Drosophila melanogaster: one gene and its partners. Changing the gene in region 2 together with the main gene of any one other region gives a genetic interaction. Each region holds a gene or a part of one and is shown on either strand. Other genes may lie near its edges. The genes, in order: dap, Rap1 and RapGAP1.

The links.
Region 1: of Rap1 (region 2) and dap, changing one enhances a phenotype caused by changing the other (phenotypic enhancement), as found in Drosophila melanogaster (one study listed by BioGRID).
Region 3: of Rap1 (region 2) and RapGAP1, changing one enhances a phenotype caused by changing the other (phenotypic enhancement), as found in Drosophila melanogaster (one study listed by BioGRID).

Annotation. Positions count from the first base shown.
Region 1 is NT_033778.4:9,710,168-9,716,951, forward strand, and holds dap (dacapo), read left to right. Parts: upstream 1-2,153; 5' UTR 2,154-2,772; coding exon 2,773-2,936; intron 2,937-2,995; coding exon 2,996-3,396; intron 3,397-4,743; coding exon 4,744-4,916; 3' UTR 4,917-6,089; downstream 6,090-6,784. Other genes in the region: sqa (spaghetti-squash activator), read right to left, coding at 6,352-6,784.
Region 2 is NT_037436.4:1,858,037-1,864,277, reverse strand, and holds Rap1 (Rap1 GTPase), read left to right. Parts: upstream 1-2,038; 5' UTR 2,039-2,217; exon of another isoform or gene 2,218-2,348; intron 2,349-2,461; exon of another isoform or gene 2,462-2,601; 5' UTR 2,602-3,066; coding exon 3,067-3,621; 3' UTR 3,622-5,163; downstream 5,164-6,241. Other genes in the region: HBS1, read left to right, coding at 1-1,245; CG12024 (uncharacterized protein), read right to left, coding at 6,094-6,241. UniProt on the Drosophila melanogaster protein: Ras proteins bind GDP/GTP and possess intrinsic GTPase activity. Plays a role in photoreceptor cell determination.
Region 3 is NT_033779.5:7,575,493-7,580,749, reverse strand, and holds the start of RapGAP1 (Rap GTPase activating protein 1), read left to right. Parts: upstream 1-1,769; 5' UTR 1,770-2,190; coding exon 2,191-2,513; intron 2,514-4,142; exon of another isoform or gene 4,143-4,505; intron 4,506-4,736; exon of another isoform or gene 4,737-5,016; intron 5,017-5,257.

The DNA of each region.
Region 1 (6,784 bases), on a different chromosome or scaffold from region 2:
CACCCCCACCGGAACACGTGGCGGATCGGACTAGGTTCTTGGCTATGAGTTGCCATATAGAGTGGGATATCTCTGACCTCCTCCTGGGGTGGAATGGGCTGGCTCGATTGTCCGCTGTGTGCTGAGGCGATAAGACGCGTTGCATTCGAAATGAGTGTAACGTATATTTTATACGAGACAAGGCAGGACTGGGCTTTGTTGAGGTTTTAGTAGATACGAGATAATGTTCTACCGACCGCGCGACCTTTGACTAGGAAACACTGATGATATTTGCCTAGCCCTTATCTACTCGGGGGGGGGGGGGGGGGGCCATAGTTGAGTGCATATTAGGGAATTCGGATAAGATCCAATTCGATCCTACCAGCATTAAGGACTGCAATCAAGTGAATACCTTGAGTGCCATCCAATGCCCGCACGTTCCACGACAATCCTTTAGGATCTGCCCTCATAAGCGGGACACTTGAGAACCGCTTTTCCACCTCTTTTCTCAGCCTTTTTTTTTTTTGTTTTTCCGCGTGTGTTGACACAACCCATATAAAGCCAGGATATCCTGCTCGGGAGGAAATTACTTAAAGGGATCACGAACTCTTCCCCTTTCGAAAAACTCCTTCTTGAGTTGTTTATGTTTTCAGGCATGACTGCCGCCGAACGCCAGTAGAATTCTCAAATTTGTTATAAAGTGTGTAAATTCACGTTGCTTTTCTTTTTGAGGGAGGGTGTGTCCCATAAACAGAAAACCGAACCACAAGGGATCGGATCTTATGGGAGTGGAAAGGAACGAATTATGGATGGATGATGATGCTGCCTAATCGAACGTTCGTCAAACGATCTCTGCCTTTTTTGGGGTGATTGCACTCCGTTTTTTCTTGTTTTTTTTTTTCTCGGGTTTTTGTGTGGAAAGCCGATGGGTTTTCCCATTATTTCGTCGAGTGCAAAGGACAAAGCAAATGATGTCTTTAGTCTACGAATCTGACTTCCAAGGCTTTGTCCCAATTCTTTCCTTCTTATTTAATTGGATTTGTTCAAACAATATAAATCTCGTTTTATTGCCTTTGGTAGTGTAATTTAATTTTTTACGATTTTGCACACGAAAGGAAAAAAACTTTATGAAAATGCAGCACGAAATGAGCAGAAAACTTGCGTTTCACAAAGTGAACCATAACGGAAATTTGAAATACCCAGTGCTATGCAAACACCACAAGGAAATTCGAACTAGACGTGCACATTATTTTACATACATACATACATACATCGTACAAATGTATATTTGGTGGACCAGTGCCCCACAATGCAAGCGCGATTTTCCCCTTGGCAACACGAGGAAAGTGAAAAGAATTGGTGCCCCAAATGCCCCCTGCCACTTCCCTCCGACGACTAAAAATCCAGTTTGAGGCCAAACAAACCAAAACCATAACATCGTTTTTTCGTATCTTCCCATCGCAATCGCAACTAAAAGTACAGCTCCACCGATGCAACAACAACCAAGAAGGCAGCGAACAGAACACACGGATGGAAATGGCAGGGATGGGTAGATGGCGTGCGAGAGAGTGGGAGACATATGGTGAGAGAGAGAGAGGTTGTGGAAGTTGTGACGACTTTCTTGATACGCTCTATGAAGGAACCTTGGACAGTTTAAAATATAATTAAATTGGTTATTTCAAAAACATTAAAAATAAAATCTGGTTGAATACTGTTTACAAATGAACTATGGGCTTATGAGCTGTGAATATTATTTGACAGGAAATAATGAAAATAATGATAATAATAATAATAATAATAATAATGAATACGTATTATATATTGTACTATATGATGATTCCAACAATCAATAATTATATTAAAGCTCATAATATCAAAACTTTTAAACTCAGATGCCTTAGTTAAATTTTGTTAGGAAACTTTTATTTTTCTGAGTATTTTTTATACGTTTGCTATATAAGTTTAAAGAACAATTCAAAGGAAGTGCATTGCTCTTTCGATATGATTAACATTAAAAGCGCATTCTTTTTCCCTATCTCTTTCGCTCCTGCTGCTTTTCCGATCTTTTCGAATTCGAGGGTTGCTACAGAGAGAGCGTGAACCGCTCTGAATTTCCAGTTGGCAACGCCTCTGGTGGTTGTTTGACGTTTGCTTTTGCCCAGTGTTTTATTTATCTTTTATTCGTTTCTCCGAGTTCGTCGAGAGAGGTTCGCTTCGATCGGTAGCGCTATATTTAAAAATCTAGTGCGCAGTGCGCTCATAGCCGAAAAGGTTAACAAACATCGCTGTAAAAACGACTTCAAGTTGTAAAGACAAATATAATACAAAGGTGCTGCCATTGGCAGCTAACTCATACAAAAACTCCAACGAGACCCGCAAACGTTTCGTTTTGTGAGTCGACTAGCAGTGCAGTGTGTTCGAATCGCCATTCAAAGATAGTGACCAAGTGCTATTGGACCAAGGCATTTGTTTATAATTATTTTTATAAACAATTGCAGCGTGAAATTTCACTTTTGAACGCAGCAAGACGTAAAATAAGCTGCAGCACAACGCACACACAGAACACTCGCTCTCCCTCTCACATACACACACGCTCGCGTGTGGAGACCGTGATTTGTATTCGTGTGGAGACTGCCTCTCTCTCTTTTGGGGCTGTCTGAACACAAAGTTTTGGCGCCAAAAGTTTGACAGTTCGCTTTGGCGTGTAATTCGCAAACAAGTGGCAAGAAAAGTGCGTCTCAAAACAGAGTAGAAAACACTAGGGGATCCCAAAAAAATATATATTGACTCAACATGGTCAGTGCCCGAGTCCTGAATCCTGTGATGATCAGTGAGTTCTGCAAGATGAGCAGCAGCCCGGCGGTGAGTCGCAATCTGGCATGCGGTCGTCAGTTGAATCGCATAAAGCGTGACCTCTTCGGTAGCTCCAAATCCGCCGAGGGTACAGCCAACAAAACGTGAGTTTCTATAATAACAGTTGGATTTTGACCAATAGCTAACAATATATCCTCTTTAGACCCTTTAATTCCGAACTGGAGCGCCATCAAGAACTGGCCACGCAAAAATGGGGCTTTGACTTCCGCGCCGGCTGCCCTTTAGCTGAAAAATCACCCTACATTTGGGAGCGCGTCAGCTTCCAGGAGTCGAGCTTCGCCCCAGAGATGTACACCCTAACACGGGCCGCCCACGTACGCCCTTCCGCGGATGCAAGTCCTAGCGACATGGACATTTTGGTCAACGAGCGCTCAGAACGGGAGAACTTTGGCTCCAATCTGGTCAATTCCTCGCTAGAGTCGAACACGGATAATGAATCTTGTTACGACTCCCAGGACGAGTCGCTGGCAATGCGGCTTAGCTCCTCCAGCACGACAAGCACATCCTCCATAGTCCTGCGCAAGAGACAGCCAAAAATCACAGGTGAGTTTTGGGGGATGTTCTACACCATTTTGATCAGTAGAGCTTGACGGTTCCCAGGGTCAGGCTTCATTTCACTTCGATAGACGTTACAAAGTGTTTTCCCATAGCTTTCCTTTTATTCCCTGTTTATTTTCGGTTCTCAGGAGGAAGTTGAGGGTGTTTTTTTTTTTTTTTTAACTTATCAGGCTTGTTTTGTAATCGGACTGATACGATATTATTTTTCAAAATTATCTGTAGAGTAGAGAGTATTATCTAAAAATTTCCGAATATAGTGCTCGAGATATAAAAGTAGATTCGTGCTCTTTGTTTTGCAAACTCGATGAAAACGATTTTCATCAATGATTTTATGCCAAACCAATATTTTGTGCAGGATTTTGTACTTACAATACTAAACTCCATAAGGGGTTGTTTGATTGGTTTTAAGTCCACTCCTTCGCATTTATTGTTTATATTCACGTTTTAGTTGTGGGCGTTTTTCGTGAAACTTAGACCCAAATTATAGCAATTAGCCAATGCTTTGTGGGAGATTTATTTTCGTCCAGAAGGGTAAGTCAAAGCTGACTGCAGCTGTTTCAGCTCCTCATCTCCCTAAACCGAATGATTCTCTTCTGATCCTCCACAACGCGGGGGTTGGTTTCCAGATCGATAGCATGCGGGCTGGCTGGCTGCATCTATAAATGCCAACAGCTGTGACTCCGCTTTGTCTATGGCCTGACCTCATTATAGAAAACGGGAGAGGGGTCTGGGGATCGGCTTTCAATGCACCACCATCCAGAGTCCATGGTCTTATCAAACCTCCCTTTGATTGCTTTGTACTGAGCGTTTTTTATAAATGCCACTAGCACATGCATGTGTAATTATAATCATAAAAAAATTGTGTCTGTTCGGAACATAATAAATGCACCCGCATCGGGTGGTCAGTAGGGAAGCCTTTGAATCCCCCAACGCCTCAACTCGCTTTACTTAAAGTGCACTTTTTGCTGCTTTGGCCAGTAAGCTAGAGCTCATAATTTATGCAGTTATGTAGCACCACCACTCTTGCTTTCACCGGACTACCTGAAAACCGGCTAAAGACCGACTGTCTGGCTGCCGTCTGGCATTTATTTGCTACCCCTGTGCGGATCTGCAACCCTCTGGTAGGGAAGTGCTGCCGTCCACGTGCCACAATCTGGGAATCTACCCGAAACCGAAATCAAAATGTGCAAAAACAGAAAAACAGGCGGCGCCTGCTGTTTAGGGATCAGTGACTTGTGAACAGGGGCAACCGGAAATGCAGCAGCTGACTTTGATTTGGCAATTCCACCTAACACGTATTAATAACACTCGTTTTCCTTCCTTTGTTTACAGAATTCATGAAGGAGCGCAAACGTCTGGCCCAGGCACCCAAGAAACTATCGCCCGCAAAGCGCATGCGCACCAGTTCTCCCAGTTCGTCCGCCACTTCCAGCTCCAGCTCCAGCGGTGGATTTGGGTTGGGGGCACACTTTGGGGCGATGTTGAAGCGGCCGCGCCACAACTAATGCTCCAGATTCGCTGGCCAACCCACCGAATTGCAATTTGTAATTTTATTTTTTACAAGCCACTGCGATTGTGTAGTATTTCCTAATTTTTTATTACGAACCTTTTTATGCAGTGCAAGGGCGACAGTTGCGAATATTAATCGTTAGTCTTCAACTACTCGTAACCAGTAATTAGTTGTAAGTCAACCAGTAAGCTCGAGCTAAATGAAACTTTTTAGATTTCTCTAGTGAGAAATGCCATAAACTAAGTGATTAGTTCTTAACAACAAACAACTATTGAACAAGAAGAGAGAGACCGCAAGCTAAATGGAATTAGTCTTAACTATCTTGAAGCCAACCGAAATTTAACCTTTATAACGATGGAATACTAACTTTACATAACTTTGTGAAATCCTTGCAAATTTCGCCGGCAACTTTTGCATTTGAAATTTGCCGGGTGAACAAAACTCATCCTTTCTCTGCCCTGCCACTTCATCCAAGTACTGAAACTGAGGGGAGAGTAGAATTGAGTTTTGTCTTGCATATTAAGGGCGCCAAAACGATGCCCCAATAAGCCGCATTTCGGCTCATTGCTGCTTTGTTTTTGCGACCTACTAACATTGTAACCAATTCGACCAGTGGAAAACAAAAAAAAAAAAGAGGAATGCCTTTGAATTAACTTCGTCAATTTCTGCACGTTTGGATGCCTTATTTATATGAATGCCGCCGAATGGACACAAATTGTCGCGCTCTCATTTCTTAACCAGTGCTAAAAATGTCTTTTATGATTTGCTATGATCTCTGGGCAAATTATGAAAACAATTTTGCCTGAAACTATCATGTACAAAAACTAGATTATTATACATACTATACACATAGGCAGAGCCTATTCTTCATAACACTTATACAAAGCATTAATTTGTAAGGCCTAACTAAGAACAAATCCAAAGTATTCTCCTAATATTTATATGTATAGACACTCTATGTATAATTAAACCATATTCAACTCATACATCAATAAACAAAACAAAAACAACGCGATTGTCCTGTTTCAAAATTACCAACACATCCGCATTACTTTGGTTGTAGACGTAGCAGTAAAATGTAGTTTACTAAAACAATTTTGTACATTTTATAAGTTAATATTTGTTTTTCTGCAATAAATTGTTTTTGATTTTCTAGTTGGTAGTACATAAATCGCGTTTTTAATTTTTAATTTCATTTTTATAAAATATCGTGGGATGCCAACAAAATTCAATCCCGCGTCAATAGAAACGAATCATTGCTTCAGTTTTATTCAATAAATTAATTTGATTTATTGCTTACATCAAGTACATAAATATTAATTTGTTCCATTCGACGCTTTGTAGATTTACCTATGTGCCAATTAGTTGATCTGTACTCTACATACAAATATATATATCGCATATATACAGAGGGCTGTGGATATGGGCACCTACTTGCCCGCCGCCTTCTCCTCCAGCTGGGCTTGAATGTGGCGTACGTTGTGGCCGCCGCCATTGGGGTTGTGGCGCTGGAAGAAGGCGTTGATGGAGCTCATGGAGCGGTACTCCAGATTGTCGCTGACCCGCCAGTCCACGCTGATGCTCTGGTGACGACCCACCGGATTGCGGATGCGGGTCTCGTTGTATTTCTCCAACAAATGCAGCAGGCAATCCTTGGTGGTGTTGGCCGCCTCCTCCAGATTCACGGTTTGATGAGTGTCCGGCAGCCCAACGGGCACATCGCGACTCATCTGATTTATCCTGAACTTGGCTCGACGACTGCTGGCCGATTCGTTGCTGGCGCTGGTGGTAATTGGATTGCTGGCGCCGGTGGAGCTTGGGTTGCTGGCGCTGGTCGAGATTGAGTTGCTGGCGTTGGAGGCT
Region 2 (6,241 bases):
GACGCCGGGAAGAGTACGCTGATGGGCCATCTACTGTACGACACCGGCAACGTTTCGCAGCGAGTGATGCACAAGCACGAGCAGGAGTCCAAGAAGCTGGGCAAGCAGAGCTTCATGTATGCCTGGGTGCTGGACGAGACGGGCGAGGAGCGGGCCCGCGGCATCACCATGGACGTGGGCCAGTCGCGTATCGAAACCAAGACCAAGATCGTCACACTGCTGGATGCTCCGGGGCACAAGGACTTCATTCCGAACATGATCTCCGGTGCCACACAGGCGGATGTTGCCCTTCTGGTGGTGGATGCTACAAGGGGAGAGTTTGAATCCGGCTTTGAGCTCGGCGGACAGACTAGAGAGCACGCCATTCTAGTGCGATCCCTGGGGGTTAACCAGCTAGGCGTGGTCATCAACAAGCTGGACACCGTTGGCTGGTCCCAGGACCGATTCACAGAGATTGTGACCAAGCTAAAGTCCTTCCTCAAACTGGCGGGCTTCAAGGATTCCGATGTGAGTTTTACGCCCTGTTCCGGACTAACCGGCGAGAACCTCACCAAGAAAGCCCAGGAACCCGCCCTGACCAACTGGTACAGTGGACGCCACCTCCTCGATGTCATTGAGAACTTCAAGATCCCCGAAAGAGCCATCGACAGACCGCTGCGAATGTCCGTGTCGGACATTTACAAGGGCACTGGCTCCGGATTCTGCATCTCGGGACGAGTGGAAACCGGAGTGCTGTGCCTGAACGACAAGGTGCTGGTGGGTGCCAGCCGGGAGCAGGCCCAAGTGAAATCCCTTACCATGAACGAATTCCCACAGACTTGCGTGTTCGCCGGCGATCAGGTCTCCGTCACCCTGCCCGCCTTGGACATCAACAACGTCACCGTGGGCTGCATCATCAGCGATCCACAAACCCCTATTCCGGTGACAACGCGATTCCAGGCCCGCATAATCGTGTTCAACGTCAAGGTGCCCATTACCATGGGCTTCCCCGTGCTGCTGCACCACCAATCCCTAATAGAGCCCGCCGTGGTCTGCAAGCTGACCGCATCGATTCACAAGAGCACCGGCGAGGTGGTCAAGAAGAAGCCGCGTTGCCTGGGCAACAACTCGTGTGCCCTAGTGGAACTGGAAACCAGCAGACCCATCTGCATCGAGCGGTATGCGGACTTCAAGGAGCTGGGACGCGTGATGCTTCGCGTGGCGGGAGTCACCATTGCCGCCGGAATGGTCACCAAGATCCGCTAGGTCGATGACCGCGCTGGATTTTGTACGAAATTTTAGTTAGATATTAACTTTTGTTGATTTCCTAAATATACATAGTTTATATGAATTGATTAAATCGAAAAGACGCTGAAGCATTGGAAGAGATTTCGGTCTGACCATTTTAGCGGTATCTTAAAGTGGAGTGTGTTTTTCATGGAATTAATCACTTTAAGAAATTATTATATTTATTATCATTGAATTAATCATAAGGAATATAATTACAATTTATACATAAATTGCAATATCACGTTTTTGGAATATTATGACCCCTACAATAATATTCCAAAAACGTGATATTGCAATTTTTGTATAAATTGTAATTATTTTCCTTATGATAAATTCTATGATTCAAAACTGTATCTCGAAAATGTGAATATGCGGCTGACTAAAATTCTGAATGCGAATCATATTGCTGATTCATGAAACAATCAAGCATTAGAATTTTTTCTTAAACTATCGGCAACACAGCTTATATATTATTTGCAAATTATGCTTAAAAAATAAAATAGGAATACCATAAAATATCACTTACTGTAGAAAACAATTTCAATATGAAATCGTATTAACAAAATTAAAATTAAAAAAAAATATATAGGGAAAATAACAATTTAAATATTTCCAAAATTTGATGTGCTAATATAAATTTAAAAGAATCAAATATATTTCGAATATAAATTTTATAGTTTATTTTTAAAATTTACAGCAATGCTTTAAAAGTGTCATCGCTAAGCCATTGCGATAGTCGTGCGTAGCCCTCGGCCTGCGAGTGCCGATAGTGCCATCGATGCTTTGGCAGCCCTAGTCTTTGAGTGTTCGCTGTTCGCTGAGGGCGAAAAAGTAAAGAAATTACAAGGCAAACTAGTGTTAAATTAAAAGTGAAGCGATTCGCGAGCGGCGACAGGTGAAGCGGTCCCCAAGGAGCAAGCAGTTGGCGGCAGCGAGTGAAAAGCATAGGTAAAACTCCGCCCAGAGTTGCCCTGCCGCCCGACATGCGGGTGCATTTGCGTGGTTCAGTTGTTTAGTGGCCGTTCGGTAGGCCGATGTACGCACATGGGTGCCCAGTGTGCAATTTAAGTGCATTTTAAGTGAGAGAGCTGAGTGAAATTTAAGGGAATCTCCGGCTTGAGGCGTTGCAGTGGGGCGCTGCGTTCGGTGCGGCCGCCTGGCAACCCTGAAAATGAATCATTAGAGCGAGAACGAGAACGAGAGAGTTGTGAAGAAGAAAAGAGGGAGTGCAGTCAGTTCTCAGCATACCAAAAAACGCAAACCAAAAAGACTCGCAAAGAATTTAGCGTTTATTGTGTCTAAAAAGCGCCTTTCTTCTTACTCCCCCCACAGTGTGCTCTCGGTAGCAGTGACGGCCGTCTCGAGGAACAGTCAAGCCAGGATATTTCCGCTCAAAAAAGCAACAATTGAACGCACGCAACTCGGCGGAAGGAGCGAGCGAGAGAGGGAGCACAAACACCATCACACATTCACACACACTAACACACACACACTCACGCAGTCACTTACACGGCACAAAGGTTATCAACAGCAAAAGCAACAACAACAAACAATTTACTTTAAATATAAAACATATATTAACTAATAAGCAAGAGCAACAAAAAAAAACAAAAACAAAAAACAACTGCAACCGACAAGCAATCGCCGAACAACGCCTAAAAACAAGTGATTTTCGAGGGAGAGCCACCTGGAAAGTGAACCCACCTACCTGGCCTACCTGCATTTTGGGTCTCTTCCCTAGAATTTAGCACAAAACAAGAGATATACGAAGGATATACAAACAGCACAGCAGCCAGCATGCGTGAGTACAAAATCGTGGTCCTTGGAAGCGGCGGCGTGGGCAAATCCGCGCTGACAGTCCAGTTTGTCCAGTGCATCTTCGTGGAGAAGTACGATCCCACCATCGAGGACAGTTACAGGAAGCAGGTGGAGGTGGACGGACAGCAGTGCATGCTGGAGATCCTGGACACGGCGGGTACGGAGCAGTTCACGGCCATGCGGGATTTGTACATGAAGAACGGCCAGGGATTCGTGCTGGTCTACTCGATCACGGCGCAATCGACGTTTAACGATCTGCAGGACCTGCGCGAGCAGATACTCCGGGTGAAGGACACGGACGATGTGCCCATGGTGCTCGTGGGCAACAAGTGCGACCTCGAAGAGGAGCGCGTCGTCGGCAAGGAGCTGGGCAAGAACCTGGCCACCCAGTTCAACTGCGCCTTCATGGAGACCTCAGCCAAAGCCAAAGTGAATGTGAACGATATTTTCTACGACCTGGTCCGGCAGATCAACAAGAAGTCGCCCGAGAAGAAACAGAAGAAGCCGAAAAAGTCCCTATGTGTTCTGCTATAAGACTTCCAAAAACCACCAAAACTAAAAAAACAAAAAAAAAAATATATAACAGAGGAGGAGGAGAGAGGAGCAAAAGTATAAGCGTAAAGTAAAGAATTTTCAAATTTTTTTCGTTCTCGTTTCGTTTTGGATCCGATGGCAATTGTCGAATTGAAATAACCAATCTACTATATACAAGCAAAACTTAAACTGACAAATGTTTTTAACTGTTTCAAGTTTTTGTAATTATTACCATTTACTACTATTATGATTGTACTATTTTTCGCTGATTAACCATTAATTCATATGGGGAATTATTATATATATATATCTACATATTTAAATATATTTGTCGTTCGTTTTTGAGCCGTTTTTTAAATTATGCAACAAGTGAAACATTCGTAAACTAAAACATTCGTATTTATTGATTCTTTTCGATTGTACTCTACACATCTACAACTACAACTACTTATACACGCGAAAGCCCAACCAACAACAAGTATATCTTTAAATAGAACCGAAAACAACATTCGAAACACAAATCAAATTAAGCTAAACTAAATTGTACGCCTAAAAGATAAAGATAACAAATTCCACGAGAGAAATGAGCAAATAAATCGAGAAAGGAAATGAATCATGAATAAGGAACATATTTTATAAAAATATTGTATGCAAATGATGTCAAAATGTTGCAAACAACCAGAAGTAATGAGCCCCCTCCCCCTTAGAAATTAGTTTAAAACAAATTTACAATTAATTGTTTACCACGATCAGTTGCATCAAATCTGAACCCCCCCCCCCAAACACACACATACCAGCCACATCCCACACACACACACACACATTCGCAACCAGAACTCACACACACAAACACACCTACACATTTCCGGCGCGCTCTCAGAGAGCGAAAAAGCTACACGAAAACGGAAGCGGAATCGAGACAAGAGGCTCCTGCGGCCAAGGCTCATTTCCGCTTCCTGGTAAAAAGAAGAGGAGCAGGAAGTGCAGAGAGAGCCACAAATTCTAGAATATTTAATACATAAGAAATGGTTTAACACAAACTAAACTGTCGTGTCAATCCCAAAATGAAAAGAAACCTAAAAACGAAGTAATTTACAAATATTTCATAATAAACATTGCATAAACTTCGCGTACGAGTAGTAACCAATATGCCCTTAAATCAAAGTCTAAACACAGCCAACAACCAACATTAAAAGTAAACTAAATAAAACCTAAGCCCAAGCGTATATATTAAATATATGATAAAGATACAAATCATTTTTGAACATAATAAACAACAAACAAACCAACCGTTACAATAACATAATGTAATAATGAGCGTGTGAAAAATGTAATTGAAAAACCATTTTTTCGAACTTGTTTCCCTACTGGTCGCGTTTTTGGGACCCCACACAGAGCCTCTGATCTCAGAATCCTGGCAGTCCCGAATTCGCGACGCAGTAGGTCGACATGATCGAGCATCTTTTAATTATTAATAAATGTATTATGTTTATAAAAAATTAAAAAGGAAATGCAAAAACAAAATAAAAATTAAATAAATTCATTTGTGGAGCGTATGCCTTATTCTTAGCATAGTTCATTCAGAAGTTAAAGACAAGACGATTGCATTGAAGTTTTGAAATATCTGTATTTGATACTTGGAATAGTTATATAAGGTTGTTATTCAAATATTTATACATATACAATTACAATCAAATAGCTCGTCTTTATAATTATAATATTCTGCTAGTTTATAGCACGCATGTTAATCCAGCGTAAGATCTGCGATAGGATCGATTCGGAGTTAAGTTGGGGCGTAGGAGTAGTAAAACCGCATTGTATCCACAGCTGATATGGTATGCAAGTTCCGAGAGATTCGCGGGTTGAGATATACAATCATAATGCATGCTTTTCGTAGAAGCCGGCGAATCGCTCGCCAGCAGTTAAAATGTAGAAAGTGAATTTTAAGACAGAGTTACGTGGTAGTTTCTATTACTGTACAATAAGTGGCTCGAGTTCCGCTTCATGACTAGGTTTTGGGCTAAGCAAAGTGCTATACTGGGGGACTCGCCTCCGATTCCTGGTGTGATGCTTGTTAATTAACGCTTTTTATAATCAGTCGAACGTGTGAGTGAGTGTGGCTTTCTAGCAATCTCTAGCAATCGCGGCTTAAAAGAGGCCGCCTTAGTATCGATTACAAATTATGCATAAAACTTAACTACGCTAATTTGGCAACAACGAAAGGGTAAACAAAACGTATACAAACAAGGAATATATGTATGGGTATATGGGGGTATTGCACGGTAGGGTAAAAATTGCACTTAAGGTTAAAACTAGGGTAATACCATCGCATCTTTGTGTCGAGATTGGGATAGGAGATTTCAGATTTCGTTCTTGCCCGGAGATTACTTTGGACTGGGGAACTGGGGAGATTACTAGCGCACGTGATCGTCACGTTATGGCCGTTGAGATTAGATAACAAAACGATCCGCTTCACTTGCGCAGCTGCAGTTGACCCTGCTGCTGGCTGGACTGGCTCGCTTGCTGCTGATCACGCTGCTGGTGGTGGTGATCCTCGTCGTCGCTGGGCTCTTCGCGCAGCGGCAAGGAGTCTATCTGCTTGGCCGTGGTCACCTTCTTG
Region 3 (5,257 bases), on a different chromosome or scaffold from region 2:
GTAATTTTGACAACGCACACACGATGCTCGAGTGGTCATGGGGGATGGGGGCGGTGCTGGGGGGTTGATGTAGGGGGGCGGTTGCGATTGAGTATCGTCATCAAGGAAATGTCATGATAAATCTTACTCGACTTTCCCGTGGCCGAAACCGTTACAGTAGCAACTGCGAATTCGATTTCGATTTGGGTTTTCGATTTCACTTTAAATTGGTTTTGATACTCTGTAATTAGGAGATCGCGATAGGGGGAAAATTAAACATTAAACACTTATTAAGTCACATGAATTTTTGAAATGCATCAAAAGGCATTAAAACAGATAAGAAGTATTTCGACAAAATAGAAATGCCATTTTCTATTTTGAATGCAGGCAGATGCATTTTACTAAAAAGAGTATCTTGAAGCTACAACGACTTGATTTCTTTTTTATAATTTTCATATTTACAGCTCTCTTATCGAGCGATTTGTTTTGCATGTTCCATTTATCTGATTTGCTGGATATTCCATTACCTGTTAACTCGATTGCAGCGGCATTTAGCAGTTGTGGAACCACTTTTCGACGCCACTGTCTTCATCCCCCCCATCGACTTTAATGCACTTATTCTCCGTCCGTTTTTTGTGCATATTGCGACGCCCTGAAGTCTGTTTCCTTATCACCCTCTTTTCGAGAACCATTAAAGTTCTTGGTGGTGACCCGCAGCAGAATCGTAAACCCAGCTTGACTCATTGATGCATCGATGAGACATTTATATTTTCCAGTTGTCCCCACACTACTTTTTCCTATTCCAAGTGCCATAGAAATGAGGAAAATCTGAGTAAAATCGTCGCTTATTATGCGCAAATCAATTTCCCAGCACCTGAAAATGTCAAACGAAGGTGTAAGAATCAGATAAGAGAAAATCTTGATGGATTGTTTAATTAATTAACCAAAGTCTAAATGGTGATTGATTGGAGCATTGAACTAGACAATGGTTTCTATTCATGGGGCGTGTTAAAGGGGGCGGTGCTGAAAACCCTGAGATATCCGATAGCTGGAAATGGTAAATAAAAATAAATAAAGACGTCTCTATATGTACGGATTACACTTAATTTGTATATCGGCAGCAATAAAATGAAAACGAGCTGACTTAGCGGAATCCCAGCTCGGTCATTTATCACCAGCACAGTAAAACTGAAATACAATCCAAAACTAGTAAAAACGTTTAACTGGCGCTTAAGAATGGAATATACCTTTTATATTTATAAAAGAGTACAATATCCACTTCTTTAGTGGTTTCTAAATTAAACCTAAAAAATGTAAATTTAATTTTTAATAAAACACATTAACCCCAAAAAGGTGAGAATATTTATTATTTATAGTACATTGTTTGAATTAAGTCCTCACATGATTAGTGAGAGGTTTGGTTTTATCTTTTATATGTTAATTGCGCTGTTATGTTACTGTTATTGCATTGTATTGATTCATCGCTTCTAAATAAATAAATATATAAAAAAAAAAACATTGTTTGAACAGATTTTTGATGCTTATATGATCGCTTTAAGTACATATATTCCCAATTAAGATCAGAAGTACCCGGTATGTTTAAAATAATGAAATCGCAAGAAATATAAGTAAATTCAGAAAAAAACACTATGCAATAAAACGTGCGAAGTTATAAAAACAATGGAAATGGAAAGAGAGGGAGAGCAAAAACAAGCGAGGGAGAACGCTCCAGATAATGGAGCTCGGTTCTAAAAAGTCGGTTCTTGGGGCTCTGTTCCGATTCTTTGTTGCGGTCAGTCGGAAAATCGAAGGCGGCGCGACGCGACATCATATCGAAACCCCAACGAAACGCGATTTATGCAACGAACGAATTCTAATTTATGCAAAGAAAAAAAAAATGTAGACATAAATTAATTTTATAACTATAGTCACATTGTGTAATGAGTGAATATAATAAATCTAAGTGTAAGCCCGGAGTAGAAATGATAAGAGTACCAATTCGCAGTGAAAAATATAAATTAAAAATATAATATATTCTACAATCTATATGGAAAGTTATAAACGTATATATTTCAATTAACTTAATAAATTCATTATAATAAAACAAACTAATAAAAAACACATGCAATTACTAGAGTACATAGTACATATTCTGTTAGTACATATTCTCAAGAGTAACCTTTCAAAATTTAGTAGATTTAGGCGATAAAAATGAGTTCCTACAGGACATTGGTGGATCATGGCCATCCGATTATAGTGGGAAGCAGTGAAATATCGCTGGCCCCGAGTTCGGCAGCCAGTTCGCCCAAGCCCCTACACCGGATGATCAAGTACTGGCGCAACAGTTCCGGAAAAATTCCGGGTCTCCGCAAAAGCGAGAGTTTCGCCGAGTATCGTCGCCATTCATCCAACTCGGCCACAATTTCGGGAGGATCAGGGGGCAGATCGAGCACTTCGAGTGCCAGGCAATTGCAATACCAGCGACTGGAGATGGAAAGCTGCGAGAATATAGATATGCTGACAGAACCACTAAGGTAAGTGCACTTAATGATAAAAACTAGTTTTTTTTTTCAATTTATTCATTAATAAATTACTCATTTTTATGAGTGCCAAGATATTAATGTGGTTAATCGTTTAGAATCAGAGCATCAGGTGGTCAAGAATTTAAAATTTGTTTGTGCCTAGCATTTGAAAGGTTTTAAAATGATTTTACCCATTTATTACCTACACATCGTAAACAAATCAATTTTATTTCTTTCTCTTGTAAATCACTTCCATGGAGACCGAGATAAATGTTGAATGACCAAATATATGCATGCATTCCATACCTGTTTATATAGAAACTACCAAAGAAGTGGCATCCATTGTCTTGCGGTTCACTTTGATGTGTAACCCCAAAAATGTGGGGCATGCAACAGTTGGTTATCTGTTTTCGGGTTTTCGAAACGCCCCTCGCAGCTGCGGTTTATCGTGTGGTTATCAGCTGTTCGTTATCAGCCGCCAACGAAAACATCGGCAAGCATGTGGATGATAAAAACGAGGGAACAAGTGCAACACGCCGACGTCATTTTGTGGATTGTGGAAACAGTTCGCGGGAGAACTGCATTTTTTGCATTTACAAATACAAGTCGAAAGTTTGTGAACACTTTTCAAAGTGATTCTTTTTCCACAAATTGTTAGATTTGGTGTACAAGACAAAAAACAATGTTTAGTCAACAAAAGTTGACGGAAAATTCTTTTTTATAACTACTATAACATACATACATACATATTCAATTTCGTATTCTGTAATACTTATTCGGGTTGACATCAGAAATCCAGAAAAATGGTATATCCAAATTGTGAAAATACTTTCTCTCGAAAAAGGCTCATGAAAGAACGTGTTCTGGAATAACACCACTTTCCAAGGGGGCGAACGCCGACTGTTTTTGGCTCGTGCCTCTGTTTACTTGTGTATTGGTGTCCCACGCCGGTTCCGGTTATTCGGTTTGTTTTGGTTATCTCTCGGTGGAGGGAAATCATTGCCTTCTGCATACTTTTGGGGTACACTGTGCAAATAATTAACTGGCAACTGCATTGCCGGCTTCTTTGAATTGCATTGTTTTCCAAACTGTTTACTTTGGCTAATGCGGGCAGCTCCGCTCTCCCCTGGCAACAACTCTTTCTGTTTGCCTAAACTGCGCGCATTTGGAATGTAAATAAATGTAAATAAACAAGAATTTCGCCCCCATAAAGGCAACAAAAGCAGTGAGAGCAGAACAACAACAAACTCGCTCTCTCGCCTTAACAAAAATGCAACGTGCACGTACAGTTAAGGTCGCAGCAATAGCACGGATTTTTATAAAATTATCTGCTCTTTAATATGAATTAATGCATATCTGTATCATCACATGTTTTACATGTTATTTCATATATCATTCCACTCTTCTTTGTCTGCGCTGCATTAAATAATTTTTATCTGTCTAAGCTTCATAATATATGTGTACATAAATAAAATCTCCATAACTGGATCCACAGCCACTATTATTTTGGCCCCCACTGTGGAGTTTGTGGATCGCATTCGCCAGTGGAACCTGAAATCTGAGCTTCGTGCGCAACGATGTTGTTCGTCGCTCGCATTCGTGTTCGTTTGGGGCCAGACCCGCAGCTTTTCTGCTTTGCGACTCAGAGTCGATTTGTGAACCAACTCGTGTGGGCGTCCGAGCCAGCGAGTGTCCGACTAAGTGTGTGCGTGTGCGAGGACGACCGGGCGTGTGTGTGAGCGTTGTCGCGCGTCTGCGTCGCGAAATCCTGATATCGGGAATCGGAACAGGAATCGTAATATATTTCGGGTCTGCGGTCCAGACGCTGATGCGTCTTCTTCATTAGCTGTTCGAAAAGTAACGGTAGAACGCAAAGCAGTTGCAAATCGACAGCAACAGAAGACGGCGAGAAGCGCCACGAATGGAAAAATCAAAACAAACAAGAAAATTGTTAAAAAAGAAGAGCAAACAACAAACGAATACTCGAATATGTGAAAGTGCTAGGTAATCAACCAAAAAAATTATAAAATTAATATAACCAATTAAGGCAATGATGATTTGTGGTTTTGAATTCTTGAAAAAAGTGAACAAAAACAAATCATGCTAAGCATAACACGCAAACTTTCTTCAACAATTAATTTGCAATTGATCCCACTGAGGCGGTTTCCTAAACAGCCTAAACAAAAGAAAGAAAACGAAAGCAATAAATAGACAAACAATAAGCAAAATGTTTGACGAACTTTTAATTGAACGTGTGTGCTTGAATAACAACAAATTGAAATCGCATTTGTTGGCCTTATCAAAAAATTAGAAGCGAAAGTGGCAAAGGTGTCTTAATGGGCAAGACAAATAGAAATCAAAATAAGTTTGCCAAAAAAAAAAAACAGCTGCATAAATACGCGCACGTAGTTAAAAGTGAAATTTTTAAACAAAAATCGTTGGCTGAAATTGAAATGTAACGAGCAAAGAATCCAAAAGCAGAAGCGAAGAAAGTGTTGAAACCAAGTGAAATTGTGTGCGTAATATTTTGTGCAATTCAATTACGAAAATTCCATCCAATAACAAGTGCATGAAATGACGGAATAACATAATCAGCACAGACAAATGTCAAACCACTGAAAAGAAACTACAAATGAGAAATATTTATAAAAAGAAATAACCACAAAAAAGTTCCGTTTTTGTCTCATTCCTCTCCCTCTTTCTTCATCTCGTTTTTGGCGGTTCCCGAGTTTTCTTGCGTTTTGTTTTCTGTGTCT